Linked DNA regions of Lepisosteus oculatus. The protein of the gene in region 2 purifies or fractionates together with the protein of the main gene of each other region. This does not show direct contact. Links are inferred from orthologs where the notes say so. Each region holds a gene or a part of one and is shown on either strand. Other genes may lie near its edges.

Region 1 (16,417 bases), on a different chromosome or scaffold from region 2:
CTTTGCCATGTCTAAATTATGTCAAATTGCAACAATACAATGGCTTAAAGGCATTAAATACACATATACAATATGAAATACATTTACTTTGTTGTTGAGCTTCGCAAATAATTGAACATATAATTTTAACATTTACAAGAAGAAACACGTGTCTGTCATTTCAGGCACTTAATGCAATTTCTCTTCCCAAAAGGAACAAACCACATTGTGACCTCTAGCACAGACACAACAAACTGAAAGATCTAATTTTAAAGACATTATGAAAAACATACATTTGAAAAACAGGAGCAAACAAGAGAGAACCAACATTTATAAATCATTTAAAATTGTCACACAAGACAAAATTAATATTAAATATTTGTAGGTCCCTTACTTGTCAGGATCATTAATTGATTATTTAATATTATACTGAAAGTGTACATGAACTACTTAAATGTTTGCATATTTTGTTTACATATGTCCATAAATTAAGACAACAAAGTTGCTCTTTATTTCTCAATCAGTAATTAAACCTGCGAAACTGAATATGCATACAATGCTGCATTACTCTGAAAAAACTGCAAGTCAAAAATGACCAAATTCTACATACACAGTATATAGGTTTTGTTTCTAGCTTACTGGCGGTCGTGTTTTTCCAAGGGCACCGGGGACTACCCCCCTACCTTTGAAAAGCCTCTTTGAAACTGCAATATTCCGATTCATGGCCATCGCTTACCGTCAGCGAGGATTTGTCACCGTTCAGCTGGCTGTCATCTCTCGATTTCACATACCGCCTGTGATTCTGGTAGAAGTTGGAAAGCCCGTAGTACATGAAGACATTGCTCTGGAGGGAAGCAGATTTCAACAAGTGGAGTCTCGCTGCACACGAGGGTATACAACAGACAGATTTACCCAGCCAGATTTACCCAGCCAAGTCGGTGGGCTATGTGAGATCACACCCCAACGTCCTACAATATCCCCTGCTTCAGCTGAAGAGTTTATAGAGAAGGGTTACCACACAGGAAGAGGTCATTCGGCCCATCCAGGCTCCAAGGATCTCAACCAACATTTATAGTTCCCAAGAGTAATATAACTTTTCTCCACTGCTGTTCAGGGAGATGTTGTCTCAAATATCCTTAAATGAATGTGGTGCTCTGTTCCCTCCACATGTTCTAAAACAAATCTGTATCATTTTCAATTTTTTATACCAATCCTTATTATTTATTAAAATCATATCTTAAGAACTGTTTCTGTAATATTTGCACACATTCATTTTAACAAACCTTATTTAAAAATTCCTTTTGCATTGTTTTTTTTGTTTACATTTCAAGTGACTGAAGCGGTCCAGGATTGGATGTAAAATCAGCACGTCTTGGGTGAGCCTAGTTGCGTCGGTTTTCAAAATGTTAAGGTTTTTTTTTTTAAGATTGTTGTCAAACAATGCAGGGATGGTTCCTCAAATATCACTTCAAAAATCATGAATTAATTTCCTATTCGAAACAATCCTTCATTTGTATGTCAAAGCTCCCTAAATCCAGCCTCATTTGCTCACTCTAATGCCTGCCCAAGGTAAAGCATTTTCCAATACACAAGGCTGGCTTTAAGAATAGCAACACTCAATGCAGAAAACAAGGCTGAACGTTGTATTTAATCGCTCTGGGCTTACATCACCATTCAACTGAAATTAAAGTCTTGTGATACATTTACACATTGAAGATAGCATAAAAATCTTTAGAAACTCAAAATCTGCGTTACGAGTTAAGCTGCCATAAAAAGAAAGAATTCCAGTTTAACCGGCTTCAACTGAGCCTTCAGAAACGTATTTGATCAAAGGGATTTTTCTGGTTTACTCCAAATTAACAGGATAAAACGTCAGGGGAGAAAGTACGGGGGAGATAGTGGAAGAGGGGGTAGAGAGAGAGGCAGAGAGAAAAACACTATCAGCCTCCTCTTCCTCTAAACAAGGTGAGGACCTTGTTCTCATCAGTCTTGGACACCAGCTACTGGCTAAGTAATGCAAAGCCTGTTTTCAGACAGCTTACTGTCCTATTTATTTTTAAAATTCTGAATTTCTTTATTGTGGATACCCAGGCTAAAGATGATCTCTTCTAGTTATGGTGAAACATTGTTTGAATGGGAAGACAGAGTCCCCTTAATTTGGGGCCATCCATGTTGTAGGACGGCAGATTTAGTGCTGGGTCATACTCTTATTCGGGACACACGTTTCATCACTCCTGCTGGCCAGTCAAACTGTTACGTAGGATGTCAGACTAAAGGGCTAGCTTTGTGTTTCTGGGTCTATAGAACATAGGTCTCTGAGACATGCTGATTTACATATAGTGAAACCTTTAATGTTTTAGTTAGGCTGTATGTTTTGTGTTTGTTATTCAGTGTGGCCGATAAATATTTGTCTGCTCATGGTTACCTCTGAATTATTACCAGAGCTGTATCAGAGAACTCACGTGACCAGATTAGACCTACTACTCAGATTTGATTATCTGATTTTGCACTCTCTTGTCCTGACCATCCCTAGTCTGTAACATCTGCATTAGATTTAAAGATATCAGACGCTGTGTATCTAAATAGATTTACAATGACCGTCTTTCAGTTTAGCAATCCACAAAACACTGTAATAAAACATCCTTTAATCTAAAGAACTTGTGTCGATTTAGTAGTTTTGACCTGTTTAACTACCCAAAGCATGTTAGAGCTTAATCATTTATAACATGTATTTAGCTTTAATTACTAATATAACAGCTGGGAGGCACAAAAACTTGATAACATGTTGTCAGAAAATGAGGATTTAGACAATTTACAGAACAAGCTACTAATGACCATCTGAGATAGGCGTCTGAGATAGGCTTAACAACCTCGTTAATAAACTTTTCTTGTGTTAAACATTCCCCACTTTTTATTTTCAAGGCTAGATACACTTAGTCACAGTGAGAGACATGCAAGTGATTTGAGGTGGTTTAAAGTTTGCAGTCAATTAACATACACAATGGAGAGTTAACTGATTATCACCTCCTCTGCACCCAGAAAGCAATTAACAGGTATCAAAGGTAGCATAAATAAAACAATTAACATTTAAAAAGTAAATGCTTCTTGCGGTATTTGGGTTTAGCAAACACATAAATATTAAAAAGTACCAAGCTTATGTATAATTAAAAGCTGTCACAGATGATGCATCTTCCAGCAGGCTTGACTCATTAATCTCACTGTGACTGGGTTTCCAATAAAAATACTCTGCATTAAGACAGAATGAAAAACTGAAAAGAAAGAAAACTTTTGGGCTCCTAGAATGCACTATTTTCACATACAGCTAATAATTACACGACTGGGTTAATTTCAACCAATGTAAAATTCAAAGGTGAATGTTTTTCATGAATCAAACAAAAGTCATCCATTTGTGTCTCAGGTGGATCTTGTGCGCATCACTTCCAGACCTAAAATTCCATTGCATGAATTATTCATTGAGAAATAACTCTGATTCATGAGTGCTGCTGGGCTTTGGACATTGTGAGCATGGTTAATAGCAGCGCAAGCAGATGAGAATCTGGAAGCTCATCTGAAAAGGCACCTCAGATGCTGTCCGAACAATTGACATTTAATCACTAAATGTAAGCCAATACATATTCTGACAGGACATACGTTTTACACATATTCCAGCCAACTACTAGTAATTATTCTCTCAGTGCTCATGCACAGGAATTCCCTAAGGAGAAATTAGTTATTTCTCAAAAAATATACCAATTTAAGGGTGACACAGCAGTTCAGCAGTTAGCACTGTTGCCTTGCACTGCTGGAGCTTGGGTTCGACAAGATCTGTGTGGAGTTTGCATGTTCCCCACATGTATGTTACAGGTTTTCTCTGGGTGCTCCAGTTTCCTCCTACAGTTCAAACACATACTTGGGCCTGGTGTGAGCATGTGTCTATGTCTGCCTGCCATTGACTGGTGTCCCATCCAGAGTGTATCCCACCTTGCTCCCCCACGACACCGAACCGGACACAGCGGTTAGAAAATGGATGGAAAAGATCTGTAAAATGGCGCCGACAGGGAAGGCTGCCGTCCTGCGAGCTCCCATTCATCCTTGTCTATTTCTTATTTGTTTTGTTTTTCGTACTGCTAACTGCACATACTGTTTGCTCGGTGATTAGATATGACCGACAAACACTTATAGACATAAGTTTGAATATTGGCACAGTTCAGCATACTGCACTACCTGGACATAATATATTGCATACACCATGGACACATAGCAGCTCTATTCATATTGAGGTTTATTCCGTTACTAGTACATTATTATCTATTATCAGGTAACCTTATTTTTGTAACCTTAATTTTGTGATTTTTGTGATTCTTGAAATATTTCATTGCCAGCAATTATTGTTGTGCATTTGATAAATAAACTTTGATTTGATGTGGGTGGATATTAGTTTGCATCTCATAATATTATAATTGTCCCATCCAGGGTCTTTCAGACTTCATATCTCGTCTGCCAGCGCAGGCTCTGGCTCAACATGACTCTGTACTGGACTAAGTGTAATGGATGAAGTTACAGTTACTCTAAAACTTACACATCACTTCGGTCTTACCTCAAAGGGCTGGTCCAGTGTAAAAGGGACAGAGCACATACAAGGCTTTGTGCTGTTCCAGCTGTACGTCTGAGAACAGTTGAAGCAGGGACTAGACATGTCAATGCCAGTGTAATCAATCTGGAATATAGAAGGCACAGCTATTACTAGGGGATAATCAATCAGCTCTTAAGAGACAAGAAACTGGTTTACGTACTTGCAAGAATTCAATATGGAACAAAACCAGCTGTAATCACTTACAATAAGATCAGTATAACAATATTTTAGCATTGTTCACAATAATGAAGAGATTAAATGGACAAAAGGATTTGAAATTACACTTCTAAAGTATGCCTTTAAGAGAAGACAATCAGAGTGCAGTAATACACACAGCTCCACGTTCATTCTTCTGCAGAGCTGAAAGACATACAGAACTTGTTTTGTTACTGTAACCCACAGCATAAACCGTATGCCTAAAGTCTACACATGCCTGCAAACCAAATACTGTACCTGCTTTAACTATTTTAAATGCAAGGAAGGCACTGAACATAATGGCATTCTCGGCATTCTCGGATTGAACATAATGGCATTCTTTTACACGGACGAATGAGCCAACAGAAATTCAATTACCTTTGCATATGCCTTCTATGTTAAGATCAAATATTTACTTAACCTCACGAAAACTACCGTGGCAATACATCAGAGTGCAAACTGCACTAAATATACACCGGTCATACTGAAAGAGCAAAACTGATGTCCCTATACTGAACACACTTCGGCGCTTAATTCTGAAGAATCAACAGTGTTTAGAGTATGGCCATGAACGTTGCAACATTGAGTGCTAGTGCATTTCAACACACCAGAGACGCAGAAATACGTTTTCACACCCTTCATCATACCTAACAAAAAAAATCACTACATCGAGGTTGGGCGAATGCAAAAAAATACTGAGTTATATACAGTAATAAAAGTTCATTACTGAATAACACTGTAGAAGACTGGTGCCGAGACGATAATGTGTTGATATCCGAGTGTACACAGAACCGCAGGCTGTAGTGTATCATTCAGAGACCTGCAGCCCCGAAACCGCTACAGGTGATTCGCAGTACCCCCAAGACACCACGCAGTTACCCCTTAATACTGTGCTCATGCCAACACCGCCGTACCTCGAATTCTTTGATGTTGTTCGAAGTGACGAAGAGCCCGATGCCGATGGGGATGAAGATGAGACCAATGACGAAGAAAGCGGGCAGCACCGTGCCCGCGGTGAGGATGGGCTGCCAAGCGGGCAGCCTTTGCTGTTTGAAGGCTGTGTTGTCCGGCTTCTTGCTCTTGATAGCCCCACCGCCGCCAGGCCCGGAGGCCCCGGAGTGGTGACCGTCTTCCTCCTTTGCGTTATAGCTAGACGCCATCATGGCTAATATCCCGTTTCGCTGCACCACCAACACAGAAACCCGGAGAGAAGAATTACGAGGACGAGAGGCTGCGATCGGTGAAACACCGGCGCCCTAAACTACATGTATGTAGTTCGTTACGATGAAAAATTATATCAATAACGATACTCCTTTAACCTTTAAATTCTACCCCCCCATCAAGGAAAAGCAGCAGCGACTAAATAAAACCAGGAAGCTTCTAAATCCCAAACACGTAACGTGCGTGATGACGTCTGTTAATCGCAGAGCGGACGCGCGATGTTCCTATGGGTGGTATTGGGGAAACTGAGAGTTAATCGCGCTAAAAACACTTTAGGTTTGTGTGTTTAATGTGTTCTACAACAATTTATTTTCTTAAGATAAATTTAGTAATAGAGTGCATGCAAATTTCTTATTGTCTCTCACACAGACTTTATTTGACTCTTATGTTTTTTCTTATGCAGAGCGCCAAAGCAATAATGCATCTTTGCGCTTTATGAAGTTACCAGTTTATGGCACATTGTGCAATTCCTTATTCGCCTCGGGCGCTGGCAATCCGCCATTCAGCTTGTCGCTAAAGCGTTTAAGGAATACATCTGTGTGATAAAATGTCATTTTGCGACTGTGATCGATGCAAGAGTAGCAAAAAAAAATCCCAGGATAAAGTTCTTCCGTGCTTTCTCCTCTGGTACAGTATTATACATTATGAATAAACCTTTCATGCCGTGTATTTGAATCAGGTCCCTTTTACTGTTTGAGATTACAGAGGTTCTGTGCGTTTCAGTCAGTCAGTGTAGAACAATCCTTAAAGCTCGAGGTTGTGTCTGATTTATCTGCACTAATTCCAGAGCAAAAATACGCAATTCTTGTAACGCAGTGAACAATACTGTACAGATAGTACTGCGAGTGCGAATTAAGTCTTGCTAGTGCATTACATAATTTTAAAGTAACAGTAAAGTCAATCTAAACTTTTTTATTGCTTTGCCACACTGTCAAGATTGAAATGTTGTGTCAAGATAACCACCTTATTTGTTTTTCATAAGTGGCCTCTTCAAGTTCAGAATTTCACAGTTCATGTGTTCGCTTGAATTTGTCAATGGAAATGGAAATTTTGAGTTTCCATTAAATCTTCTACAGTGTTTGATGATCCTCCTATTTTGGTAATATCTGCAGTCATCTACAGTTTACTAACTGCAGGGTAGGAGTGTGCAGTAAGTGGATAGAGTTTTGGACTTGAACTGGTTGTTGGTTCAGATCCCCGGGAGAGACACTGCTGCTGTACCTTTGAGATTAATAATAATAATTAATTTCTGGACACTCCACTCAAAGTGGTTTACAGATAATGGGGACTCCCCTCCACCACCACCAATGTGCAGCCCCACCTGGATGATGTGATGACAGCCATTGTGCACCAGTACACTCACCACACATCAGCTATCAGTGGGGAGGAGAGCAGAGTGATGGAGCCAGTTCAGAGATCAGGTTTATTAGGAGGAAATGTGGATAGGACACCAGGGTAACACCCCTACTCTTTTTTGAGAAACGCCATGGGATTTTTAATGACCACAGAGAGTCAGGACCTCAGTTTAACGTCTCATCTGAAGGACGGCGACTTTTTACAGTATAGTGTCCCCGTCACTATATTGGGGCATTAGGACCCACATAGACCGCAGGTGACACTAACACCTCTTTCGGCAGCAACCTTAGTTTTTCCCAGGAGGTCTCCCATCCAGGTACTGATCAGGCTCACACCTGCTGAGCTTCAGTGGGCTGCCAGTTGTGAGTTGAGTGGTGATATGGCTGCTGGCTAGATTGTTCCAGCTGTATATAGTGGTGCAAATATAAGTCTCAGGATAAACGCATCACCCAAAAACATCAATATAAACTCGATTACAATTATATCAACATATGTATAGAGTATATAGTGTAAATAGAAATGGTCCTCAAACAAGTTAAAGAAAATAATTGTTAAAAATACTGAGACATACCAATTGGATCCAGGGACCCCACTGAAAACATATTCTACTGGCATGGCAATAATCAGGAACAGGTAAAGGTTTTGACTGTGGAGCCTCCTTCAGGTGTCGTTTTTTTACCTTTCAGCGTGGAATCAACCTCTGCATGTTCCTTCACTGCCTACGCATGCGGACGCAGCTCTCCACTTGAACTTCATGGTAATAATCACGGGATGGGATGAGTACCATCGGGTCATGGCAATCCTATGGATAGTTCCCCTGTCACTATCCACAGTTTTCATGGCAGGATACAGAAGTAGATTCCAGGCCTTTCTTCCACACAGATAGCGCGAGCGTTGTTGCCGTTGTCACGGAAACGTGATCCTCCGCCGCCAACACCACCCCACCCTGCTGCTGCCCAGTATGGGTTATTAGACAACCTGGCGCCCGACTTGGGACACGAACCCACTACCCTGAGATAGATAGATAATACTTTATTAATCCCGTAGGGAAATTGATGTGTTACAGCAGTCCAGACCAAGACAAGCAAAACAGACATCAGAATAGTTATAAAACAAAAGACAAACAAAATAAATAAATACATAGGTGAATTAGATTAGGGGGTCTCATGCTCTACCCACAGAGCTAGCTGGGGCTCTGGTAATAATCATACTGGCATGATATGGTTTCAGGTCTGCTAAAATATTCCAGACCATGCCTTTCTGGAATCTTCCATGCTGATCTGTGTTCTCTAATGAAGACTTTCTACACCAGCGGTTCTCCTTTCTGGCCCTGGGGGACATCTCCGCCCTTGGGGTTTTGCTCCGCCTGGTTGTTGGAGTGATTGCTCCATCTTAATCCCAGTTTTCATTCAAGACCTATTTAAAATTTGCGTTCAGCTCTCAAAAAGGCGAATAGGAATTTGTAATTGGCTCCAGCCTTATACTAATTAGTGAGTTCCAGAAGTGACCTCATTTCAAGTGTGTTTCCTTGAAATATGACTGATTGGACAAGGAAAAACTCTCAGTTCATGAAGGAGTGTTTTGTATATTGATATATTATCATTCCCATGTGCATCTGTTCATTATAAAACAGTCACCTATTCAAGCTTGCATATTACTTTATGTATATATAAGCTTTTTAGTTAGAAATAAGGGAACTTACTCAGCAAGTTCAGGAGAGATTTCATAAAGTTTTGTAGAATGTTAGAAATAATACACTGAAGACTTTAGTGTTTTTGAAGCCGAGGCCTAAACAAGCAAGCAAATCAGTTACTGGCACCAGTTTGCACTGGTGTTAACCCAGCTGAAGCTGAAACCACAGGACCAGAACCGATAACCACTGGTCTATACTGTTAAAGCATATGTGAGAAAAAAGGAGAACCAACAATAATAGAGAAACCAGGGTCAGTGTGTTGTGTTTGACATGGTTACTTGACAGGAAAACCATAATTTAAGGAGATTTCATCACCTGGCAGCAGAGGCCCTTGCTGGAAGGTTACTGTTGCTGACAACATGAAAAATCACAGCCTAATCAGCCTCCATCATTTTTGTTTACAGTGGAACAAGCCTTGCACGTCAACGTTCAGAGTTTAGAGTTGAATTCTTCGAGCACCACGCATTTGCAACCTGACATGCAGTCTCTTGGGGGACAATCGTAGTTTTCCTTAAGTTGTAATGATCTAAAGTGAAACAGGAGGAGGCTTAGACACCTGTGGTCAATTGATCCATTGTCGTACCACCCAGAATTAGGGGGAGAAGGAGGCCTCAGGCTGTATTTCTCATTGTAGCTGACATCACCGAGCCTGTGACGAGCGCGGCTCTGCCCCTGCCAGAATTTGATCATGGTCGCTAACAGGCAACGCCAGCTTCAGGGCCTCACGGTCACCGCCCGCCAGAGAGCAGTGAATTCTGCCTGGAAGAAAGGTCAGATTCCAGGGGTACCCAGGCTCCAAGAAGGTGATGTCACCTTCTGTAACAGGCTCAGTGCTGGTAATGAGTCCTGCTCCACACTCACTAAAGGCATTAGTGACATGGAGGATCCACATTCGGTCCAGTTTAGAAGCCACCAATAGACCATCAGAGCTCGTTAGACTGCAGACACAGGGAGATAAACAGCAACCTGACAAAGTGCCTCACAAAAATGTAGTATCATGCGTCTCAGGGTAAAAAGTCCATACTGGTGCCAAAGTTGCTCATTAAGACAGAAATTATTCTTATTTCTGTCTGCATCATTAAGCAGACTAGAGAGCACATACCACCCCCTTCGATCACACACCAGACTATTGCAGGGATTATGCCCCCCCCCCCACAGCAACACAGTTTCCCATTGATACAGCTGGGTGGACCGGAGCAGGCAGGTGATTTGATCAAGGACATAACAGCAGTGTCTGCAGTGTGGACTTGAACCAACCAACCTAGTCACCAACCATGAGCCCAAAGGCTTACCCTGTGCACAGCTCAGCCCCATGAATCCCAGGGTTGTTGACAAGGATATCTGAACGGTATCTAGTGAAATGTGCTCTGCCAAAAGCCAGGAGAACCAGCTCTGCAACTGAACACTTTATATCAGGAGACCAGCACTGGTTGTGTTGAGCCCAAATCCGGTTCATCCTTCATCGTTCTATTGATTGGGAGTCCTGGTGAGGTATATATTAATTACACAAGTAAAAATGTTTTCAATAAAGGGACTTTGGTAATTATGGGTTGAAGGTTTCAGGTTCGTCAGATTTTGTTTCAGTAAATCACTTAATTCACCCCACAAAAAAAAACTAAATGTTTTTTTTAGTTGTTCTTAAATTTAAGTTTTGTAAATTTTCAAAAGTTACAATTTAATAAGGATCTATACCACAACCCTGTACTGGATAAGACTAATAAAAAATATAGATTGATATTTTATGAATTAAGACCTGTCCAGAGATAGAGTTGGAGATAAATATATGGCATTGCTGCAGAGCAGGTTTATTATATGACTTATGTATATTTTGTTCTTAACATACTGTACAAGTCATTAATCTGATATGGAAACACTCTAAAAAGGAAGAAAATAAAAGTTCTAATTAGATTAAAATTAAAATACAGCTACATATTTGTCTTCCATTGAAGACAGTGGAATGTGTGCATGAATACCACACAAATGCATGTCTCTCTCCCCACACATACACAGACAATCCATTACTGTGGAACTGTTTGACTCTGCTTGCATCCAATAGCATTATTGGAGTATGATGGTTAATATTGGGTCTTTACACTTATGTACCTTAAATAAAAAATGATCCTAGATACAAGGTACTGTACATATAAATGTTTATTCATTACAACAAATATAACTCCAAGCAGTTCATTTTATTTAAAAAAAAATGTTTTATTTGTAGCTCCCCATCATGTGACTTTGTGTACGAAGAATTTGCAAGCAGGGTTCTCAACCCTGATCATTAGGGTGCACAGTCTAAATATGAAAAACAACTGTGGAACAAGGTTATCTCGTCAGTTCTAGCATAAATCATTAACTTTTTAGAAAATACCACTAAAACAAAGGTCACTAAGTTCCCCCTGTGCTGACAGAATTCTGCTGGCAAGGAAATTTTAATTTTAATAATTTCCTTTAAAGATTGCCAAGCACACCTATTCATTTGTGTGCCACCTAGTTGGTAAGTTGTTTTCGACAGCTGTACACAGACTCTATGAATGAGGTAAGGATGCTCTGTTTTCTAAATGCATTTGGATTCATATTTCCATGATGTCTTCCAGTGTCAAATTTACAAAGGTGATGTAATTTAATTTAGCCAGATTTATGATGATCTGCAACAATTCACATATGTTTACTAAATTATAAAATTCCTTAAACCAAAGGATGACAGTAACTAAACTGCAGTTCATCAATTTTATGAATTACATGACGTAATTTTAGTGTTACAGCTGTGTTGAGTTTCAGATACGCACTTATAATCCTAATTGACCCTGGGATGGTGGATCTGGATTAAGTCAAAATTTCCACTCACTCACTAATCTTAGATTGCAAACTTACTATTTGAAGGATGCAAATTTTCCCAGGCGGTTCCTACTTCTGTCCAATAGATGCTCAGCATCAAGTACTTAGTTTTAATTTTGTGAAGATTCTTATGATTTGTTTTAGTCAGTTTCCAGGTCTGGAAGTTAAAAACAAAAAGTTTTTATTTTCTCAAATATAGCCTTTGACTAGTAAAAATAAAATTAGGTTTTAGTAACATAAATGCACACTTCAAGCATTCGTGTGAGTCATTGAGGCTAGATTAAATTTCTTACAGTTCTTTTACAGGTTTTTTAGGAGATCCTGTTGATAAGTCTAGCCAATTTTAGACCTAAGGCTAATTTCTTTAAAAACAAATGTGTAACAGTCCATCTTTTGCTAAATGCTTACATTTTACTTGTTTTATTTGGACAAAGTTGATAAAATCACTTTTTAATTATTTTACAGAAGGGAGAAAATACTGATAAGAATATGACAGAATACAAAGCAAGCCATATGGTATTTCCGATTTGTTTTATTACTAATACAGTACATGAGTCTACTGTAGGTCTGTGAGGCAATGTCTACAACATGTTGTATAACGTCTTCATAGTCTTCACAGAACTACTTGCATAAAGAATTGCCTCCTATTCTCAGTTTTAAATTCAATATCCCTCAGTTTTTATTTGTGTCCTCCTTTCATGTCTCACTATTGATCTTCCAGAAGTCTTTGCTATCCGTTGAGGGTTCTGAATACAATAATTAAGTCTCTTCGTACTGTAGTATTTTTCATTTGCGACTTAAAATCAAAAGTTTCAGTTCTTTTAACCTGACAATGTCAGACATTCCTTTAAGTCTGGCAAGTCTCACTTAGACTGATTCCAGAGCAGTAATGTCTCTTTCATAACATGGGGACTAAAATTTTGCATAGTGTCCTAAATCAGGTCTCGTTATTACGTTGAACAGTTTAAAGATAGCATACTTTCATTTAAATTCTACACCTTTGAGTACTGTATGTAGCATAACATAACATTCTGTTTAGCATTTTATTGCTTCCCAGCATTGTCTGGAGGGGGAAAACGATTTGTCGATGTAAGCTCCCAAGTCTTTTTCATAAGCCACTTCTTAATGGTTCATTTATTTTTTACTCAGTTTATTTCTTGCTTCATACATGTAACACTGGAAATGTGCATTAGACGACATGTCATCTGTCAGTCCTGAATCATTTCTTCATGCATTTCTTTAGCAGCTTCTACAACTTCCTGTTATTTTGGGATCATCTGCAAACATGACCAGTTTACTAAATGTACTTACTAAGTCTTAAACCAGATACTTCTAATTCACTATTGATTACATTCAGCCTTCATCTGTACTCTCTCTTTTCTATCCATTGACCCCTTCTCAGACCAAACACATACATATCTATACCTTTGATATCTCCAGCCTGCCATTTAAGAAATATTATTTTACCTGGAACTCGATCAAAACCTTTTATAAAATCCAAATATACCATCTCACAAGCTCTTTTTGAATTAATTCCTACTGTTTCTTTTTGAAAGATGTGTAACAGGTTTTTTTAAGTAAGGCCTACATTTACTAAATACATACTGATCACCCTCTAGAATAATTCTACCATTGTGAGAATCTTTTAATGTATGTCTAATTCTCATCCTCTTATAAAACAGAATTAGAGCTGTCAGGACAAAAAGGATTCTCCATCCCTTATGTGCATGCATGCTACACTTGCAATTTTCCAGTCAATAGTAATGACCCCTCTGCTGAACCTCCCAAATGCTTGTCAAGGTTTTAAAATACATACAACCATTTCCTTTAGTTCAGTTAACAGTGAAGATGTGTATGTTTTAAGAGCTCCAGCTTCTTAGTTCTGTCTATTCTAGGGCTGAGACCAATTACTGTAATACATACCCCTGCCTTTCTTCAGTTTGAGCCAGGTTGCCAATCACTTCCTCCGTAAGCACCAGGGTGAAATATTAATTTCCTCAATTAGTCTTTTCTTTCTCATCTTCTTGTAGTTTCATATCCCACTCTTGACCTTTCTACAGTATATTGGTTTGTGCTTGCAGTTCCTTGTCCTCAGTTTCTTTAACTGGATCTTCCTTTAATTTCTCTAAACATTTTCTTCTTCCATTTTTATTTAATCCATTAATCCGTTTGGAGCACTGTTTTTTAGACTTTGATTTATTATAGTAATGAGTCTGCTCTGTGACTCTAGCAGAATATAGTTTAAATGTTGCCATCCGAATCTATTTTATTCCATTTTACTTCCCTAAAAACTCCTATCTCATTCCTTCACGGTCTTCAACTTGAAAACTTTGCTTGGGACCTTGCTTGTACTTTTTCAAAATGCATTTCAAAGATGATTTTCTTTCCAAACAAGTTCTCCGTTTCTTAACTGAATCCTGAATCAAACTACTAATTTCCATTTTGAATTGTATTCACAGTACCTACACAACTGGAGATTTTATGGTACCTGAAACATTTAATCAATTTCATGGAATCACAATTATTTTAACAGCTGGAAACAAAACTGTCTCATTAAGGCAATGATTCGTTTGAAGCAATAGAGCGCTAAGGTACAAATATATCTAGTAGGCTCAGTAGTGCTGTTGTAACGAACAGTTCTTTCCGGACCCTATGCGGACGACACAAACCGAAGAAGTGGGGAAACACTGGGAAAAAGTCACGCAGGAATACGGGGCTGAAAACAGGGGGGCGTGTCCAAAGTGCGCTGGTGCACGGGGGAGGTGTGGCCGAGGCAAACAATCCAAAAGAGTAATCCATAGAGGGTATCCAAAAACACAAGAGTAAGTCCAAAGCCAGGAGATCCATCCAAACAAGGAATTAAAACCATAAACCGGGTCGGAACCGGCGGACAGGGAACGGGACCGGGCGCTTCCAGGTCCCGGACTCGCACGGTGCGGAAACCAGATGCAGAGCCAGGATGAGCGTCAGCGCCTGGCTTTTAAGGTGGGCTGGGAAAAGGGATCAGGTGCACAGAATTAAGTCTAAAGTGAAAGGGCTGGAGCGCCCTTAAGGAGGGGGGACTATAATCGTGACAGCTGTGCTACTGTGCTGTGCTAAAATATTGAATGCTGAAATACAACCAGGCCAGAGAGCCAGGAAGACAACCACCTGCAAGGACCAACTTACTGTAAATGAGGTGGGATGGTTATTTGGAAGCAAAGCCAAGGAAAATTATCCACATTATCCTTTATGTTTTTTTACAACAACAGTCAACAGTTTTTAGTCCAGGGCTTCCCTGTTCTGTTCAGATGGTTTACTTTTTTTGACTGTCCTCTCAGTATCTTGACTGCAACCTTAATTGACCTAAAACTTTGTCTATTTATCTTTCATGAGATCTTTGCATCTTGAAAAGCTGTGGTTTACAAGCTTCTTGTGAATTTCTATTGCCAACGTCTCTAAAAACAATTCAAAAAGGAAGAATTGGTGAGCTGTCCAACTGATCTGGGGTTCAACTAACTGATTAGGAAGCTCAGCTGGAATGAAAATCAGCAGACAGTGGGGTCACAGGGACCTGAACTAAGAAGCCCTGATAAATACCGGGAGTTTCTCACCCCTACTTTGAATCACACACAACTTTTCTTAATATAGCAGGGTGAAATCATCTGCTCACCTTTTAAAGACATGGGCAGTGTCACCATTCTTTTGTCACACGACTGTATGTACAGTACATCAGTACAACAAAAACAGAAATTAAATATATATATATTTATATATAAATATATATATATAATTGCTTTCGGTATCAACAGCAGCACCAGACTCCTTTGCGTTGATGTCCTGTGACCCCTCAGGCCCCCAGAAGGACAGGTGCTGCTCTGGTACTGGACGGGATGCAACTACATGGCCTCATCTCGATGACATTCTCATTTGGTGTACAACATTTTCTAAAAAAAAATAATCAAAGAATAAACACGTTACACAACACATGTCTGTGTCTTACCTGATCTTGCGGGTTTCACCAGGAAGACAACAGTCTGCTATTTTGTGGCAACTGCCTCTTACAAAGAGGGATTATGTGATAACTACTGGATGTGTCTTCATCTCACATGTAAAATATTTTTTACCCATGACCAAAATATTACATTTGATAATGTGGAGACAATACAGTGTTATGGTTAACGATAACAAATTATTTTGCTAGGAAGCTCAGCTGAGGAGAGAACAAGGGCAGAGGCTGTGGCGTAACTACCAATATGTTACTTATTAAAGCGACATTTAAACCACATCTCCTTTTTGGGCAGGATTCTCTGCACGCGCGTCCAGGACTGAAATGCCAGTAAAACATCAGTAGTCGCGGGGGTTAGGCACTTCAATCTCTGCGAGTGGCAGATTAACCAGTCCGGGAACATCGCAAATGGTGCTCGTGCAACAAGCTTCTCCAGGGTAATATTTTTGTTGTCACTGTTTAGCATTTCTGTTTTTTTCAGAAATGGTTAGCATTTATCTGTAGTATTTCACATGGA
Region 2 (16,714 bases):
TGACCAAAGTCGCAATTTCTGGCACATAAGCCCTTTATTCCTAATTCTAAGAACTGACAGCTGATGATACCTCTTGATAAAACAAATTTTGGACATCAAGCATTTATTAATCTTCAACTGTATGACTCCCACTAACCTACAACACTGTATCGTATCCTGTTGTGAGTGTGAACTTGCTCTTGGCTTCTATTCACTATTCAGCCCCCACTAAGAAGACAAGTCCCCGTCACAATATTGTCAAGGCTCTGTTGGTTTTCTGGTTCAAATCCTTGTTCACGCTGTTTGCTGAGTACTTATCCACTGTGACAGCCTTCAGCCGTTGAAAGAGGTCTTCCAAAACCAGATCTTTCCTGCTGGGCAGAGAGTGAAACGGCTCTTTCAGCCCGTGTTAAGTCAGCCCTGCCAAACGGAGCCAGCCCCACAGGCACCCTTACTGTGTCAGGCTTCGGCCTGCCCTGCTCTGCTCTGGCACGGCCACGGAGGTGTTTCATAAGACACCTGCTCCCGAGGCAGCACAGAGAAGGGGAACGATTTCCCAGAGCTTCTCAGAAAGAGTAGGGGTGTTACCCCTGTGTCCTGGACAAATTTCCCCCTGGCCTTTACCAACCATGGCCTCCTAATGATCCCCATCTCTGAACTGGCTTCATCACTCTGCTCTCCTCCCCCCTGAGAGCTGGTGTGTGGGGAGAGGACTGGAGCATCATCCAGGTGGGGCTGCACACTGGTGTATTGGTGACTGGTATTTGGTATTGCTGATTTCTGGACTCGGAGGAGAGACTGGGGCTGTGGACTCGAAATCAGGTTGTGGGTTCAGATGGCGGTGAGCAGCAGGAGTGAGCAGGGTGCCGGTCTCAGACCACCCCGGTTAAACAACCACCCGCGTCCGTGGGTACAAAGCGAAGTCGCTTGATCATAAAACCACCAGCCCAAAGCTACAAAGCAGAATAAAGACGTCAGTTCTGTACCTCAGAGGCAGAGGTACCCAGACTTGGCGTCAGTTTCTGCCAGCTAACTTCTGTTCAACCATTTTTTTTTTCTCCATTTTGTTCCCTGCGCATCTTCAGCCGCATGCTGCTGAAAAAGAAAACGGCAGCAATTATTCGGCATTCATGGGCTGCATACTGGCGGGGCTTTTGTGGGAGCAACACGGTGTACTCCAGACAGAGGAAGAGCTCTTCCTGGCACTGCGCACCTCCGATGAAGCCCATTGTGGGGTTTATATCAACTAGTGTTCGGAAAACATCTTCACTCATCTCCCCGAGCAGCCGCCTGAGCAGGAAGAGGTGCCTGTTCGAGGAGGAGCTTTCATTTTGCCATGTTAATTAGAACCGATGAAGAAGCAAGTAATCCAAAGATGTATGAAGACATCTGTTTTTTTAATAAAATTCTATTTTGGTGCAAATGATCCCGTGAAAGAGGCAGTTTCTAACGATATCGTGACACGAGGCGTTTTCATAATTTAGCCCTGATTTGCGCTGCAAAAGAAGTGAATTTAATTGAGAACTGCATTTATAGCCGTTCTGGTACAATTATACAATTACACTGTAATTGAGTTTCTGCGAGCTCCAACGTTTCCACCAATTTACTGCACTTTCACTGCAGTTAAGCTCCAGTTGCCTTTCATCGGATGTAAATTTCTCTTATTTCATAAAAAATTAAACATAATTACTCATATTCAACTGTGCCATTTTCAACAGGAGGTTCACACTAGTTAGCTTGCATTAAACCTAGAGACTGTCAAATAAGGATTTTTTTAATGCAAACCCTTTTAAAGACATGCGACAGCTGTACTATTAGATGGAAGGTGATTGATGCTGAAATAGCTTGGATCACACTGCTACAACTGGGAGGCCTACCTAATAGTCCAGGTTTCACATTTTAATGGTGTATATATTAAATCATACCTACCATGCTTGTCTGTCCAAGAAGGGACATTATCTCAATTAAAGGCTATGGCTCGTGATTGCAGTCATTCCTCTGAGTCCAGGCATGGCGATTTGCTTTGTCCTGGGTGGGTATCGACAGGCAGCAATGGCTATAGCAGACCTCAGGTGGCTCATAAAGCAAGGATCTAGCAACATCTTGCCCGCTGTGGACAGCCTATCTGGTGAATGTTAACAGACAGTTCCCCAGTAGCATCTCTGTAACAACAATTGCTGTGTCTTTGTTAACATTGCTTCGTATCAGCAGAACACCAGAGAAGGAAAAAAACGTTGCTTTCTCAGATGAGGCCTGTTTGCAAGGCCCAGCAGTGCCTTTATTGTAGCAGGACTGCTCAGATGGAACACTGTACTTCATGCTTTAATTGGGCTATGCTGAAACAGGGCAGCTTTAAACATTTTGTCTGCCCGTTCTCCCCTTTTGAAAGGGGTTAGAAGTGAGACAGAAAGACGGATGTGGCATTTCATCATCATTTCACCCATTTATTTATTTTTTCTGATCCAGGACAAGGCAGACGGAGCTGTTTCACTGTGACACGTGGCAGTTCAGGGTTCGATTCACTGGCTGTCTGAAGCTGGGAGCCTAGGTCTGAGACAAACAATAGATTCTAAGTTACTGTTTTAATTCATATCCATTTTAAGGGGGGAAAACACAGCAAAACTGCTGCCTATTACTACTTGCAATTAAAAGAGATATGGCAGGCAGCACAACAAGCTCCACTCTTAAACAGGCTCTCTGTGACCCAAACTATTGAATAAAACTAATAACGGTGAAAACAGAGGCAGAGAGTGAAAAAGAGAAGGGGAGATTTTAACCAACAGATAAGTACTTAGAGACCTTTATAGAGTATAGTGCTATTATCTCCGCTGAATAAAACTAGGATTTAGTGGTTTTTCCACTTAATTTAAATCAAAGGAATCACCACCTTGCATATTGCGCTGGTAATGTAATGGAGAGAAAATCACAAAAAGGCTTTGTGGGCACTGACACCTCCTATAGTGGAGCTGTGTTGTCCAGCAAGAAAAAGGAGAGAGGAAAGTTTTTTTTTTCTTCACTCACTATCTGCTAACACATTCTAATTGATGCCATTGCATTCCTCCGCTCAGCGCATTCAAAGAATAACGAGCTCAGAGCTGAATGCCTATGAATTGGTCCCTTCCCAGCAGAGCAGTAAAATAGCCCCCCTGCCCCCTCATCCCCCCCCCCACAATCCCATCATCCTAAACCAGTGCCACCACCACTTTCCCCCATTTACCTCCGTCCTGAAGTCCTCACTCTAGTTTAACGCCCATTAATTCAGGGGGATTGTAAAGAAATTCAGCCCACAAAAGCTGTCAATCTCTCCTGCCCCCCCTGCTCCAGCCCGGACCCACACAGGCTGGAGTGACAGCGTACCCTCCTCCACACACACAGTCCCCCCCGCTGCCTCCGTGCACAAAGCTTCAATCTGTCTTTCGAAGGACCTCTCTGACTCCCCCCCTTGCAGGTGCCCATCAAAGCGCCCACAGATGCCCCTGCCAGCCCCTCGGCGCGCCACGCCCAGGAGCAGGACAGGAAGTGCCGCTGACAAAGGGGCAGTGTGGGAAGGGGGCGGCGCAGGGAGGAGGGAGGCGGACAGATGGCCGGGTCTCTCTCGGCCTCCCCGGGAGAGCAGGGGCAGTGCAGGAATGAGCCCTTAACTTCCACTCCACCACCAGAGGCCTGAACAACAACAACAGAGTTTGTTCTCAAGCACCTACAGCTCACAATCTGAACTGGAAAATACCTGTGGCGTTAATAAGTCAATTGGTTGACAGTACCTCGCTGTGCTCATTTAAACTAATTAGAAGTTCAACGCGATCTCAGAGTTATTATTAAGCTTGTACGCCGACACATGCTTGTAGTTTGCTATTCATACTGCAAACAAACACAGCTTCAGAACCATCTCCATGTCTGCGAGCTCTGGAGTGTGACTGCAGCTTGCTGGCATTGCAGAAACATTGTCAAAGGACAGGGACTGCGACAAGCACAACTTCAGATCTTGAAGGTCCAGGGATAAAGACAAGAACTTTAGTTCTTTAGTTCAGCTCTCAGTGTCAAGTACAGAATCCAAATGCAAAAGTGCAAGTAAACTACATAAATATGAAGGCACCTGCATTCTGGAATTATATCTTGTCTTCTGATTCTTTTAATCTTTTTCATTTTTTAAGGCTGGTGGGGTTCATGATGATGATGATCATGATCAATTGTGTATAAAATTATATACATATCAGAACTCTTTCAGAATTCAGACAAAAATATATCGCTTTAACTATCTATGGGAACCTGAATGCAGAAACCTGAAGAATTCAGTGCATTTCTCTCTGTTAAAACAGGACTACAGTTCTTAAAAAAGCCTAGCTCTTGTGACGCCTGTGCACTCAGTACCCGAGCTCAGCTGTGAACACAGACCCTATCATTACCTACAGCCCCTTGGCTCCATTATGTCCCAAGATTATGGTTTTGGTCCTACGAGGCGCACCTGAGAGCCTCCTTTACTGTCTTGACTCTCACTGCTAAATGCTAGTTTGAATAGGGGAGGAATTTTTAACTGAAATGACTAAAAGTACGTAGGAAGAAAACACTCGATATTTCGAAATCAGCACGTTAGTTAGACAGTTAAAGACAGCGATCACTTCAGAACTGCCACAAGTCCTCAAGACTGAAACACAGACGCAATTCAATATTTGTGGTTACTTTGACCACGTGTTTTGGCTCAGCTGCTCTCCGGACTTACTGTGAAAGTGGCATTGTTCAGAATTCTTACACATTTAAGACAGAAGTGTGGTTCATTAAACTAGCCAGTAGCTTCAGGCCTTTTTAGTCACCGTGACTTTTTCTCAGTGGACTTTTTGATTGAATACTACACAAAACAAGAAGCCTGTAATGTAATACGTGTTACTAGGCTGCCACCTTCTGGGCATTCTGTGCATCTGCATCTGCTTCACTTAAAGGCGTTGGTATTTAGAAGGAACAGGTTTTTCTGCGCCTCACGATTTCCAGCGTGCTGCGGTAACAAACAAGGATATTGTAAAAGGAAGAAGCTCTTATTGAGCGCTGCGCTGGACTACGGTATGTACAAAAGCAGATCGCCTAAAACCAAAGCAGACACACGCAAAGTGATCATTAGCGCCGTGCAAAAAAACAGGAAAGGCGCGTTCAGACTAATCTGTTCATATGGCACCTCACTGACACAAAGACAGATCAAGCCGCTGGATGAAGGACCCCAGACAATCGATTAACACGGTCTTCTACTTCCAAACGAAGGGAGTAGCGCCTTGCCTTGCTGTCCTAACCTCGCTTGCGAGCGATCTCCAGTCCCTGTAACCCTGGTGTACTCCTTTCAGACTGACAGCCCAGGGGTCAGCTCTCTGCTCCTTTCAGGAGTCTGAATACCCAGATGAAACTCAAGCATTGTCTTGTCGTGTACAGCCTAAAGGGATTGAATGTTTCCTCTCACCAGTGCCACTAAAGTTTGTTTTTCACCTCTCCAAAGAAGCGGCGTGTGCTCTGACCCTACCGTGGTGACAGCACTCCGCAAGGTGTTCACTGTGTGTATCCTCGCTGGGGTATATCAGCCCGCTTTTCAACAGCGTGTCGGCGCAGACTAGTGGCTCTCCGTAACAGGGCATTAATGAGCGGTGGCTCTGTGGCTAAGGATCTGTGTCTGTGACTGGAAGGTTGCTGGTTCAAATCCCGCGGCCGGCAGAGGAATCCTACTCCGTTGGGCCCCTGAGCAAGGCCCTTAACCCCAACTGCTCCAGGGGCGCCGTACAATGGCAGACCCTGCGCTCTGACCCCCAGCTTCTCTCCCTGTCTCTGTGTCTGTGTCTCCCTGGAGAAAAGCTGGGGTATGTGAAAAGATGAATTCCTAATGTAAGAAATTGTAGAGGGCTAATAAAGAAACATTAACATTAAACACTTACTCAGCTTAAGTACTTTCTGATTGATAAGTCTAAAAGCTGCTGGTTCACTCTGTGTGTATGGGGTTTCAGGTCAAGCTGTTCCAGCAATGACCTGGGCTCTCCACCGACTTCAGAAGGCAGGTCAGAGCCAAAGTTGTGTCTTTTTGGTCCCCTTATTAAGGAAAATAGTTGCTTCCCCCTGAGCATGTTAGATTAGCCCTCGGCTTCAAAATGTGCTGTTGTTTAAGACTATAAATCTCTCGAAAAGGATCTGCGTCTCGCTATCCCGGCACAGGTTCCCTCTCTGAGCAACAGGTATGCGGCCGCACGCCTGAAGCTGCCAAACTGCAGCTGTGTCACTCACGTACCCTTGGTGGGTCTTCCTGCGATCCCTCTTCACGCTCCGTTCAGCACACTTCTTCCGAGTCGCCCTTGTCCGCCCAGACAGGCGTCTCCTGCTCCCGGAAAGGTGTGCGCGGGGCTGGGGGGCCTGATTGACAGCCGGCCCCTGGCCTCGGTGTTTATACTAAAAAGGAATATCGCCCTGCTCTCACCCTGAGCCCCCCTCCCCCGGTCCTTTCTGCTCCACGGGTAGCCGAACCTGAAACGAGGCCGATCAGGACCAGATCTCCACTGTCACCCCTGTCACTCCGCGCCCCTCCCGTTCACAGCCGCGTCTGGAGAGCCTGACAGATCGGCTCTCAGCTCCAGCGAGGTGGAAACAGCGCTGACATCAACGTTATCATCCCAAATACCCAAGGAAGTCTTCAGTTTCCGAACGGATTTACTAAATACAAATGTAGAAGGTACAAGAAAGGATTTTATTCTTTAATAATTAATAATAATAATAATAATTGCTTACACTTATATAGCGCTTTTCTGGACACTCCACTCAAAGCGCTTTACAGGTAATGGGGTCTCCCCTCCACCACCACCAATGTGCAGCCCCACCTGGATGATGCGACGGCAGCCATAGTGCACCAGAATGCTCCCCACACATCAGCTATCAGTGGGGAGGAGAGCAGAGTAATGAAGCCAATTCATAGATGGGGATGATTAGGAGGCCATGATTGGTTATGGCCAATGGGAAATTTGGCCAGGACGTCGGGGTTATACCCTATATACTTTAGGGCTTCGATTTGATGCCCCTACTGATCATTTTATAGTAATACCCACGCAGGGGAGCTTTTTTAAAATAATAATAATAATAATTGCTTACACTTATATAGCGCTTTTCTGGACACTCCACTCAAAGCGGTAATGGAGATCCCCTCCACCACCACCAATGTGCAGCCCCACCTGGATGATCCACCTTTTTCCTCGGCCAAGTCTAGCTTTTGTATTTATGGGAGAATAACGCCGATTTCGAGGAAGAGGCGTTTTGCACATCTGTCTCACTTCCTACTGAGAAATCAGTGTTTCCTCTATTCGTAAAGACAGACACGGAAACCTGCAGAAAACGCCTGTCAAAGGGGAAGAAATGTCATTACTTCCCTTCAGTTGCGAAATAAAGGGAAGGTTTTGCAGTACCTAAAAAGGCCACGGCGGGGAGGTAAAAGCAAACTAAAATCATTGTACCTAACGTTTGTGTACAACAAAATCACACATTTTACTTTTCTTCTCTTTCCAGTGAACTTTTCATTTAATGCGATCTGGAAATATTTCACGTCATAAAAATTGAAATACCTTCTACTGACAGAAAGTTATCTCATTAGTTTATTTTTGAGAGGACTGAATATATTGGAGACATTTGTTTTTTAAAATACCAAGTCGTTTCACATCGGTTTAGAGCCCCGGACATATCTTTAGGTATTATTTGCTACAATAAGAGAGGAACGAGGAGAGGCTGTCTGGACTGTCTAGCTTGTTTGCTAGTTAGTAGCTAATTGACTTCAGAATCTCGTCTAGTCGTTTTCTGAAAGAAGCCAGGGCAGCTCGGTCCACACTCCCACACCCCTTTGTGTAAAGAAGTGCCTCCTGTTCTCTGTATTAAATGCACTTCCAGGTAGTTTCCACTTGTCACTGAGGAATCCCAACGTCTTGAAGGACTCTAAATTGACGGATTAGGCCCCCCCCCCGTGGTCTTCTCAGTTTCAGGCCTGGTGGTTGAGGTGGGGTTATGACACAGGTGTTCGGATTGTGCATACTGTATCTCCAAGGTTATTGTGAGATTCAGTGAGACTTCACCTTAGAATGCATGTTCAAAGCCACACTGGAATACACAGGGGATTGGCATGTCTCTGAACTCTTACTGTTGATTAAACTTTGACCCTGCACGTCTCTCTCTCTGTGTCTGTGTGTGTCTGTGTCTGTGTGTGTGTGTGAAATCAAGTGCCGTTGACGCAGGTATTACACACAAACACAGATGCACACAAGTACTGCGTGTGTGTGGTGTGAACACGGGTTGACGCAGGGACAGGAGTCTGGGTCGCCTTATTTCGGGGCCCCTTGCTGTTCTGCCGTGACCCCTGGGAAACCCCCCAGGTCCCCTCTCCAGCCGCTGTGCGATGGGTGTCTGCGGACGTGCAGGATGTCTGTGCTGAGCCCCACTCGGGGGGCTCCCAGTGTGGGCGTGCTGGTCCTGGAGGGGGCTGGCTGACACAGGGCCGTCGTGATCCAGGACTGGGGCTCCTCTCAGACGGGGGTGGTGACGGTCCTCTGCTCCGCTCAGCGCCTGTGCCTGCGCCATCGAGACCGTGTTTGGGGCTGCAGGGTGGAAGCATGAGTTATTCCACCAAATATTATTCATGCAAATCAACTGAAAACAATTCGTTTGAAACTTTGCGATTCATATTGGTAGATTTTTCAAATATATTTCAGGAGATATTTTTCTTTACCCCCTGAGACTGAATCATTTTAAAATATACGAATATCAGTACTACTTCAGAATCTAGATAGGACCATTTCTTTAACTGCTACTGTAAGCTTTTTTACCAGGAGCTGGTAAAAAAAGAAAAACGAAAAATACTTTTTTATATTTTATTTTTACCGTATTTACAGACTGTTGTTTTTATAAACGGATCAGAGTGGTTCACAAGCAACCTCCGTGACAGTGACACAAAGAGATTGGAATGCTCTTTCCCTTTATTGCCCCTGCAATCGGTTTGATGGTTTTATCACGGGCTGATTGTGAAAGTTTCTGTGAACTTTCTTGTCCCAGCAGCAGAATCTGCGGGGAACTACATTTCCCATGATGCAGAGCGACGACCGTGCGTCGGGGGGCGGCGCTACAGAAAGTGGAAGTGGTAGCTTCGAGGGTAGAGATTGTTTGACAGGGAACAGGGGAGGGGGGAGTTTGCCGTGGTAGCCGGACTGTGCTGGACTTCGGATCCAAACTTTGTCTTTTTTTTTTATTTGCCCGTGTCGGTTGATACGTCGCCCGCTGGGGAAGCAGGCTGGTGTGCGATGAATGCGTCCGGGTGAGCAACAGGGCGCCGAGAAAGATGCAGCCGAGCCGCCTGTAAGGGGAGGACAGCAGCAACAGCCGCCAGCCCGCAACGCGGAAAATCAGTGGGAGAGGACGGTTTGGGAGTCGGAATCGGCATGGACGTGGACACAGCTGTGATGTAGCACAGCCGCGGCGATCCAGCGAGCGGAGCAGGGGAGACGCGCAGGCACTCACACGTCCACGGAGGACGAGCCCTCACCACCCCGAGACAAAAGAAACTGCAGTTCTAGTGTCTTCGGACCAAGTGAAAAAAGAAGAGCCGAGGAGGAGACAGAAGCTGCAATATGCTGCGAAGGAGGTTCAACCGGCTGGTAGGTACTGGAGACCCGACGTTAGACTGTACCTCGACTTCAGACACAGCGCGGTGTGTAAGACGAGGAAGACTGCCGACACACGGGTGCATGGCGATCCATCATCGTGAGGGGCTGCTCTCGGGATTTGTAGCCTCTGAGTCGGTATCTCTCCGAGCAGAGTCGCCCCTTCTGCGTTTCGCGCCGCGTTTCTAGTCATCCGAGTGGCAGACCCGAGCCGCAGCTGGCTGTAATGTGTCTGCAACTTCCTCCGGGAACCCGCGTCATGTCTTCCCTTGAGTTTATTTCCCCGTGACGGACAGCCTGCCCGCCTGCCAGGGGCGCGTGCCGCCAGCCCCTCCACGCGTGTGCGTGTCGAGGGCTCGTTGGTCGCCGGTTTCGGATCCCTCTCTCCCCGGGGGAACGCTACACAGTCGAACAGGGAAGAGACGATTAAAGATAACTTCGCTGTGCCGCCTCTTGCTACGCCGCGCTGTTCAATATTTAATTTCCTAATGCGGCTTAATAGCTGCCCTTCGATCAGGACTGAATTGTCATTTCGCCCCGTCAGGGCTGCGCGCTTTCTCTCGTCCTTTGAGTCGTGTGGCTGGTTTACTGTAATGCGTCTCATCCCAGCCGCTCTGGTGCGTGAGGCGGGTGGGTTGTGTGCCGGCGTGTGTGCAGCGAAGTCGGGTTTTGCTTTCGGCGGTGTCCGGTGGGAGATGGAGAACCCTGCCTTGAATGGACTGGGTTTGATTTTTTTTTTTTAAAAAAAAAAGCAAAAGCCCAGCTCTAGCTGCCTGTTGGTACAAGTTGGTAATTCCGTGACAATCCGAGGCACGCGGCCAGAATAGCGCCTGTCACGGAGCGCAGTGGGGTGTCGGGGGGGGTGTGAGTCACTCCACTCCCCGCAGTAATTACTGCCCTGCGCCGCTGTCACTTACCCCAGAGCCGGAGTCGCCTCTTACTCAAGCGTCCCGTTGTTTGGGCCTCTTTGTGCGCGCCAGCCAATTCTAAAACGATTAATTGATCGGTTAATTAATTTATACTTGATCCATTTGTCCAGCAGCGCGGGTTTGCGTGCTTTCCCAGGGCAGGCGGCGGCAGTGTGTGTGTGTGTGTGTTTAACCACAAGGTCTCAGCTCAGCGTTCAGGTTGCGGTCACTGCTGGGCAGTGCTGGTGTCTCTAAGCTACCCCCACCTCCTGGCTGGCTTGTTTTTGGCGCCCCTGAAGATGTCCTGAGCGCTCATTTAACACACCTGGCTGCGACCTGACACCTGGGCGCTTCCAGGGAGTTCTACTGCCTTTACTGCTCTGTTTCCGAGGTTGCAATAATAATAATAATAAACTTTGTTGTGTAGCCCCTTTAGAAGTGGCTTCTCGAAGAGCCTTAGAGTAAGGAAGAAGCACCTGAGGAGAAGAGAGGAGAGGAGGCCAGACAGTCACACAAGGTGCTCGTGTGCGGTTGTGAGAGAGGTTGTGAATGTGTGTGAGGGAGGAGGCCAGCCCAGATCTGCCCTGGAGATAACCCCAGGGCCAGCTTGCCTGCCCCGAGCAGGTCTCTTCTAGGTGCTCTCTGTCCAGCTCGCTCCCCCGTGAGAGCAGGGTGGCGTCCAGCAGCACTGCGGGACATTGCGCAAGACGGTGTGCTAAGATAAAAATTTAGACGCCTGGCTTTCCTAGCAGCTGGGAAGTCAACACGGGCCTCCGTCCTCGGGCCTCGGGCCTGGTGGCAGCGCTGCACGCTCGCTGGAGAGGAGCGCTGGGTTCCACCCTGGTGCGGGTGATTATCACAGGGGGACTGCCAGGCTGCAGCCGGCCTGCAGACTTTAAGGGGGTAAACGGGGTGAGGGGGAGCCCAGGGCTGAAGGAGGAAGGATTGTGAGCGGAGGTTTCCGCCATTTTCAGGGTTCGGTTTGCTCAGGCATGCCCTCAGACGGAAGAAAGCGATTCTCTCTGTGGCAGGGCGATGGGCACAGGCTGTGATGTTCGCTCGCTCTTACAGGACCGGCGTGGTGGTTATGAGCCTCGCAGCCCTGGTGCCCTGGGCTGCTGTCTGTGTGGAGTTTGCATGTTCCCCCCCCATGTTCCCGTGGGTTTTCTCCGGGTGCTCGGGTTTCCTCCCGCAGACCAAAGACTAGGTGGGTTAACTGGCTTCTGGGGCGGGTGGCCCTGGAGTGAATGTGTGGGTCTGTGTGTGCCCCGCAGTGGGCTGGCGTCCCATCCTGAGTGCGCCCACTGCTCGCCAGGCCCGGGCTCCGGCTCTGTGGTCGACGAAGAGGTGCAGAAAATGGATGGGCGATGCGTGCCTTCAGCGCCCTCTTTTTACAGCGGGCTGAACCTGGGCTCGGGGCGTTACTGTCGCTGCCTTCCAGCACGTTCCCAGAGCCAAACCAGACCGGTCACAGCACGGCACGGGCTCTCTCTGCTCTTGAAAATTGTCTTGAACGCCAGCTCAGCTTTTATTGAAATCGGCCCGTGCCCCTGCAAATTCCAGGAGCGATGAACAACGTGTTCGGCAGAGCCGCCCTGCTGTCATCAGCGCACTTTGTTATTGTCTGAAGTATGCTGCATGCCTCACATGCGCACAGAGCTGCGGTGTTGCGGAGAGGCAGCTGGGCAGCGCTTCTGACATGAAAGGGGAGGATCTTCAGCACAAGATGGCTCTTGTAATAAGTCCTGCGACGGCCCTTCAGTGAGTTTTAAATGCACGAGCTGGGCAGAGCCGCAGAAGCGTGAGGAAGTGTCTTTTAGTTGGAGCCGCCCAAGCAGTGTCTTCAAGAAGCTCTTGGATCAGCATTTTTCTGCCATTCCCCACACACACACACAGAAATGGCTTTTGGTGACTCAGTCACCGGGGTGAAGAGTAAGACCTAGGTTGAAAGGCAGGAGGCACTTCATTTAAATACGAAAACAGGGGGTGTGTTTTTTTTTTACACAAAGGGTAGTGGGAGTCGGGAACTGGCTGGCTGAGATCCCTTGATCAGTCGGCTACCAAAAGAGGTGAAGGGGTTCGATGGGCCGTTCAGCTGCCCTCGTGCTCACCCTGCCCTTCACTCTGGGGGGACTCGGGCTCCCCGCAGCGGCCTTCCTCCTGTCACCCCCCATCCAGCCCAGCCCGGCGGGGTCACCCCCTCCAGCCCAGCAGGCTCACCCCCTCCAGCCCAGCCCAGCCCGGCGGGCTCACCCCCTCCAGCCCAGCCCAGCCCAGCCCAGCCTGGCGGGCTCACCCCCTCCAGCCCGGCGGGCTCACCCCCTCCAGCCCAGCCCAGCCCGGCGGGCTCACCCCCTCCAGCCCAGCCCAGCCCAGCCCAGCCTGGCGGGCTCACCCCCTCCAGCCCGGCGGGCTCACCCCCTCCAGCCCAGCCCAGCCCGGCGGGCTCACCCCCTCCAGCCCAGCCCAGCCCAGCCCAGCCTGGCGGGCTCACCCCCTCCAGCCTGGCGGGCTCACCCCCTCCAGCCCGGCGGGCTCACCCCCTCCAGCCCAGCCCAGCCCGGCGGGCTCACCCCCTCCAGCCCAGCCCAGCCCAGCGGGGATCTGGCCGTAGGGGCCTGGCATGGTCAGTTAGAGAGGTGTCCTGTACAGACCAGCTGCTGCACAGCTGAACAATGAGCATCTCTCAGTTTGCAGTCTCCCGTCGTGTTTTGAAGGGTAGCAAGAGGATCATCATTCTTATTATCGATCCTGAAAGAACTCTAGATCACAGGCCCTCAGCTGCGCACCTGGGTCCCGGCATCTCACCGCAGCGGTAACAGCCTCCTGCCAGCCCGAGCTGAGCTGGTGAACTGGCCGAGATGCACAGCACAATCACAGGCCCAATCCGAAATCCTCTGCTGGCCCCTGTCTTCCCAGGTCGGATTTCTTTTTCTTTTTCGCTTATCAATACAGATTTTTTTAAACAGCAGAATTGACACAATTGAAAGGAAGAAGGAGGTCGGAGCTATTTCGTATTTTATATTTATTTCATGGTGATGGGTTTCCCTTATTGCCCTTCATTCAATGCCCAGGATGTCTGGGACACATTGAAGAAAAGAAAAAGACAGGATTCCCAAGGCCCTCACCTGCTGGGACAGTCGACTCTTCCCTCCCGCTCTCTTTATTTTTTGCTGTCGCCTCTTCCTGCCCCTGAGGAAGATGTGGTGGTTTCTGTTTCAAGCAGGTCCTCAGAAACTGGGTATGGGTTTGCTTCCACTGGGTAGTGCAGTCATAAGTCATTGTGGGTCCTGCTTTGGAAAAACCTTCCCGTTCAGTTGTTTCACTGCCAGCGTTTTGTAAAGAAGGGTCTTTCCCACCTTGTTTTAGTGGGGGGGGAAAAATGGTTTGGCAGTGCCCAGAGCAGACGGGTCTTAAATGCCGAGCCCCTGCTTTTGGAGCTCTTGTGAAGAGACATTTGAAGTCCAGCCCCCGAGGAGTTCTAAAGTTGTCTCCCCAACTGTTAATTATGGAGTTTCATGCCAGCACCACGTGTGTTTGATGTGTGACTGTGGTTTTAAGTGTAGTAGCTTGCAAGCACTTCCAGTCTTTAACCTCTGCTTCTTGATTATTTTTAGTCGCTTTTGTTCTTCAAGTGGTTCCTTATCTGCTCTGAAAAGCAGCCCTGTGCTCTTGTCCCTGCCTGGGACTCTCCTGTTCACAGGCTGTGGTACATTGACAGTGCGGGGCACTCTTTTTTAGAAACCGCCTTCCTTTTTAGCTGCTTACGGCTGTGGCCTAGCTGCTGGAGGCTGAGCTTCACTGGCAGGGCTGGGTGTGAAAGCTGGACCGTGCCGATGAGCGTGCTCAACAGCCTCTTTCACCAGACCTTCCCGTCAGAGCGACTCGGACTTTTCACATGTCCCTTGTGCATGTCCCATGTTGGGATCCGGGCTGCTAAAGGCATGAGGGGCTCCCTGTTCCTGTTTCTGCAGGAAACCACAGGTTGCATGTGGGAAATGAGTTCTGCTTTTTAAACGTTTCTATAATTAGACCAGTACTTACCAGGCTTGGTTGATGGCCACAGTTCTTGGTTGTTGCACGCTATAAAACTAGCTGCATAACATCATTAATTTGTCTTCCATTTTGAATTATTTATAAAGGAAAGCTGATTGCTGGTTATAGCGCACTGTCTGCTTCTGTACCGTATGTGCTGTGTGAGCTAGTCCACTCCACGCACTATGGCAGACGGGCTGTAAACGTGTCAGCTGGTCGGTCATGGCACTGGTGTCAGGCTGCCCCCTCTCGGTCGGGCCAGTGGGCTGCAGTGGGGGACTGCAGTTCGCGCAGGCAGCGGCAGTCGAAAGGAGTTAAGAACAAAAGTCTGGGAGGGGTGACAAGAGGCAAGTTCAATCAGTGATTTGTATTTATTCCTGCCATTTCCTCACCTAAGACGTTATGAATACAAACGCGTTCGGCCAAGTTTGCTGTGACTAGGACACAGTTCCCCGGTTAGCCAGCCAGCCAGTGAGAGTCTGCAGGAATCGGTGGTGAGAGGGGAAATGGGCTGGTCTTATTTAGCAAAAAGCCACCCACACTCTGCCTCTGCAGTGCCCCCCTTGACAATGGCTCGTTTTCAAATTGTAGTATGAAGGGTGTGTGTGTGTGCGTGCGTGTGTGTGCGCGCTGATGGACAAAAAACCATCCCAGACCATAGTAGCGCCTCATGCCCGACTAGGGGGGAGAGGGACCGAGCCCTGTGGTGGTGACCCCGGGCGGTGCACGATTTCCCAGGTGGGGGCACGCAGCCTGCGCCTGTGCTGCTTCCTGATTTATACTCGGTGCTGTCAGGGGAGGCTGGTGCTTATTGATGACAGCTTTGCAGATCCGTTTTGCAGCCATTTGTCTCGTCCTGGACCCGGGGATCAGGACAGAATTGCTTACTTCAACATCTCTCCTGTCTCCCGGCTGGCCCCTGCCCCCCGTTAATGAAATCGGAGAGCCGGAGTCCTTCCGCATCGGATAAAGCCTAATAAATACATCCCCTGGGGAGTGAGCGGAGTGTTGGAGCACTGGAGCAGCAGCCAGCGTCCCTGAGCTCAGCAGTGTCGTGGTCAGGGTCCGTGAGCCCTCTCGTGCAGCGCTGAGGGTGTCCGCGCAGCCGTTCTGCGTCTTCGGAAAGCGGACGGGGGGTGGTGATGGTTCCCAGAGGCTCTGCTTGCTGCTACAAGTGAGGTCCTAACTGGCAGCCCAGCTGTGTTCTTCCTGCGTTTTGTACTCTTCAGTGATTCACTCTTTTCTGAACAGCTCCCTGCCTCTCTCGGTCCCCCCTAGCCAGTAGGAATGCCTGTAAAAACAGAGCCCTGTTCCTTCGTTCATACCGTACATTGATGAAGCTTTTCCCCAGGAGTTGGACGTTCTCCCTCTCCAGCCCTGTCTGTATCAGAAGGTCCTGCAGGGAAAAAAGCGCTAACTGTGGTGTTAAAGTCAGTGCAACGCGAAGGCGTTGGCTGTGAATGGAGAAGATCGAGACCTGTCTTCGGGCTGGCCTCCTGGGGAGCACCGTGTCTAGCAGCAGAGCGCGGGTTTCTTCTCAAAGAGACAAACGGGCGACCGCAGGAAGCACAACTCTCCCAGCGCAGTGTCGGCTTCCCCAGCTCTTCCAGCTGTGTTCACGTTCCTGCAGGCCCCCAGTCGAAACCTTAGGTCCAGTGTGAGATATTATTAATAATAACAACAGCTGAGTAATAATAATCATGATGTTGATGATCTTAATAAACAATCAGTGCACTTATGCATTGCTTTTCTATCCAAACTGCTCCCACTATTTATTTCCTCCCTGGAGTTTTCCCTCCTGTGTGAGGTTCTCCTCGGTGTCAAGGCGGGCTGTTCGTCACTTGCTCTCACGCGAGCCAAGTCCCCCCTTGCACAACCCGCCTATTTGTGTGGACCCCGGCCCCCCTTGTCCAGCCCAGAAGGGGCGAGCTCAGCGAGCTCTGACGAAGGTCTCCTGGGCTCTCGAGCCTGCGTGCGAGCTTGCGAAAGGCTGAAGGCACTTTCCCGATGTCACTCTTCGCGCTCTCAGAGGTATTGCCAGTGACGGGGGTTGTGTAAGACTGAAGCCACCCAACAAGTTCTTCTTTCCAATTTTGTAGTGTGTCAAGGCCACTTGTTATCTCTAGTTGATGGATTTTGAAC

What was found.
Region 1: the proteins of atp11c (region 2) and cell cycle control protein 50A purify together in Homo sapiens (co-immunoprecipitation; 4 studies listed by BioGRID and IntAct, with this or other methods). This does not show direct contact. The link is inferred for Lepisosteus oculatus from reciprocal best matches to the Homo sapiens genes ATP11C and TMEM30A.

Annotation. Positions count from the first base shown.
Region 1 is NC_090697.1:9,262,193-9,278,609, reverse strand, and holds the start of cell cycle control protein 50A, read right to left. Parts: upstream 6,214-16,417; 5' UTR 5,971-6,213; coding exon 5,722-5,970; intron 4,697-5,721; coding exon 4,577-4,696; intron 824-4,576; coding exon 716-823; intron 1-715. UniProt on the Homo sapiens protein: Accessory component of a P4-ATPase flippase complex which catalyzes the hydrolysis of ATP coupled to the transport of aminophospholipids from the outer to the inner leaflet of various membranes and ensures the maintenance of asymmetric distribution of phospholipids.
Region 2 is NC_090703.1:49,678,488-49,695,201, reverse strand, and holds the start of atp11c (phospholipid-transporting ATPase IG), read left to right. Parts: upstream 1-9,106; 5' UTR 9,107-9,596; coding exon 9,597-9,623; intron 9,624-16,714. UniProt on the Homo sapiens protein: Catalytic component of a P4-ATPase flippase complex which catalyzes the hydrolysis of ATP coupled to the transport of aminophospholipids, phosphatidylserines (PS) and phosphatidylethanolamines (PE), from the outer to the inner leaflet of the plasma membrane.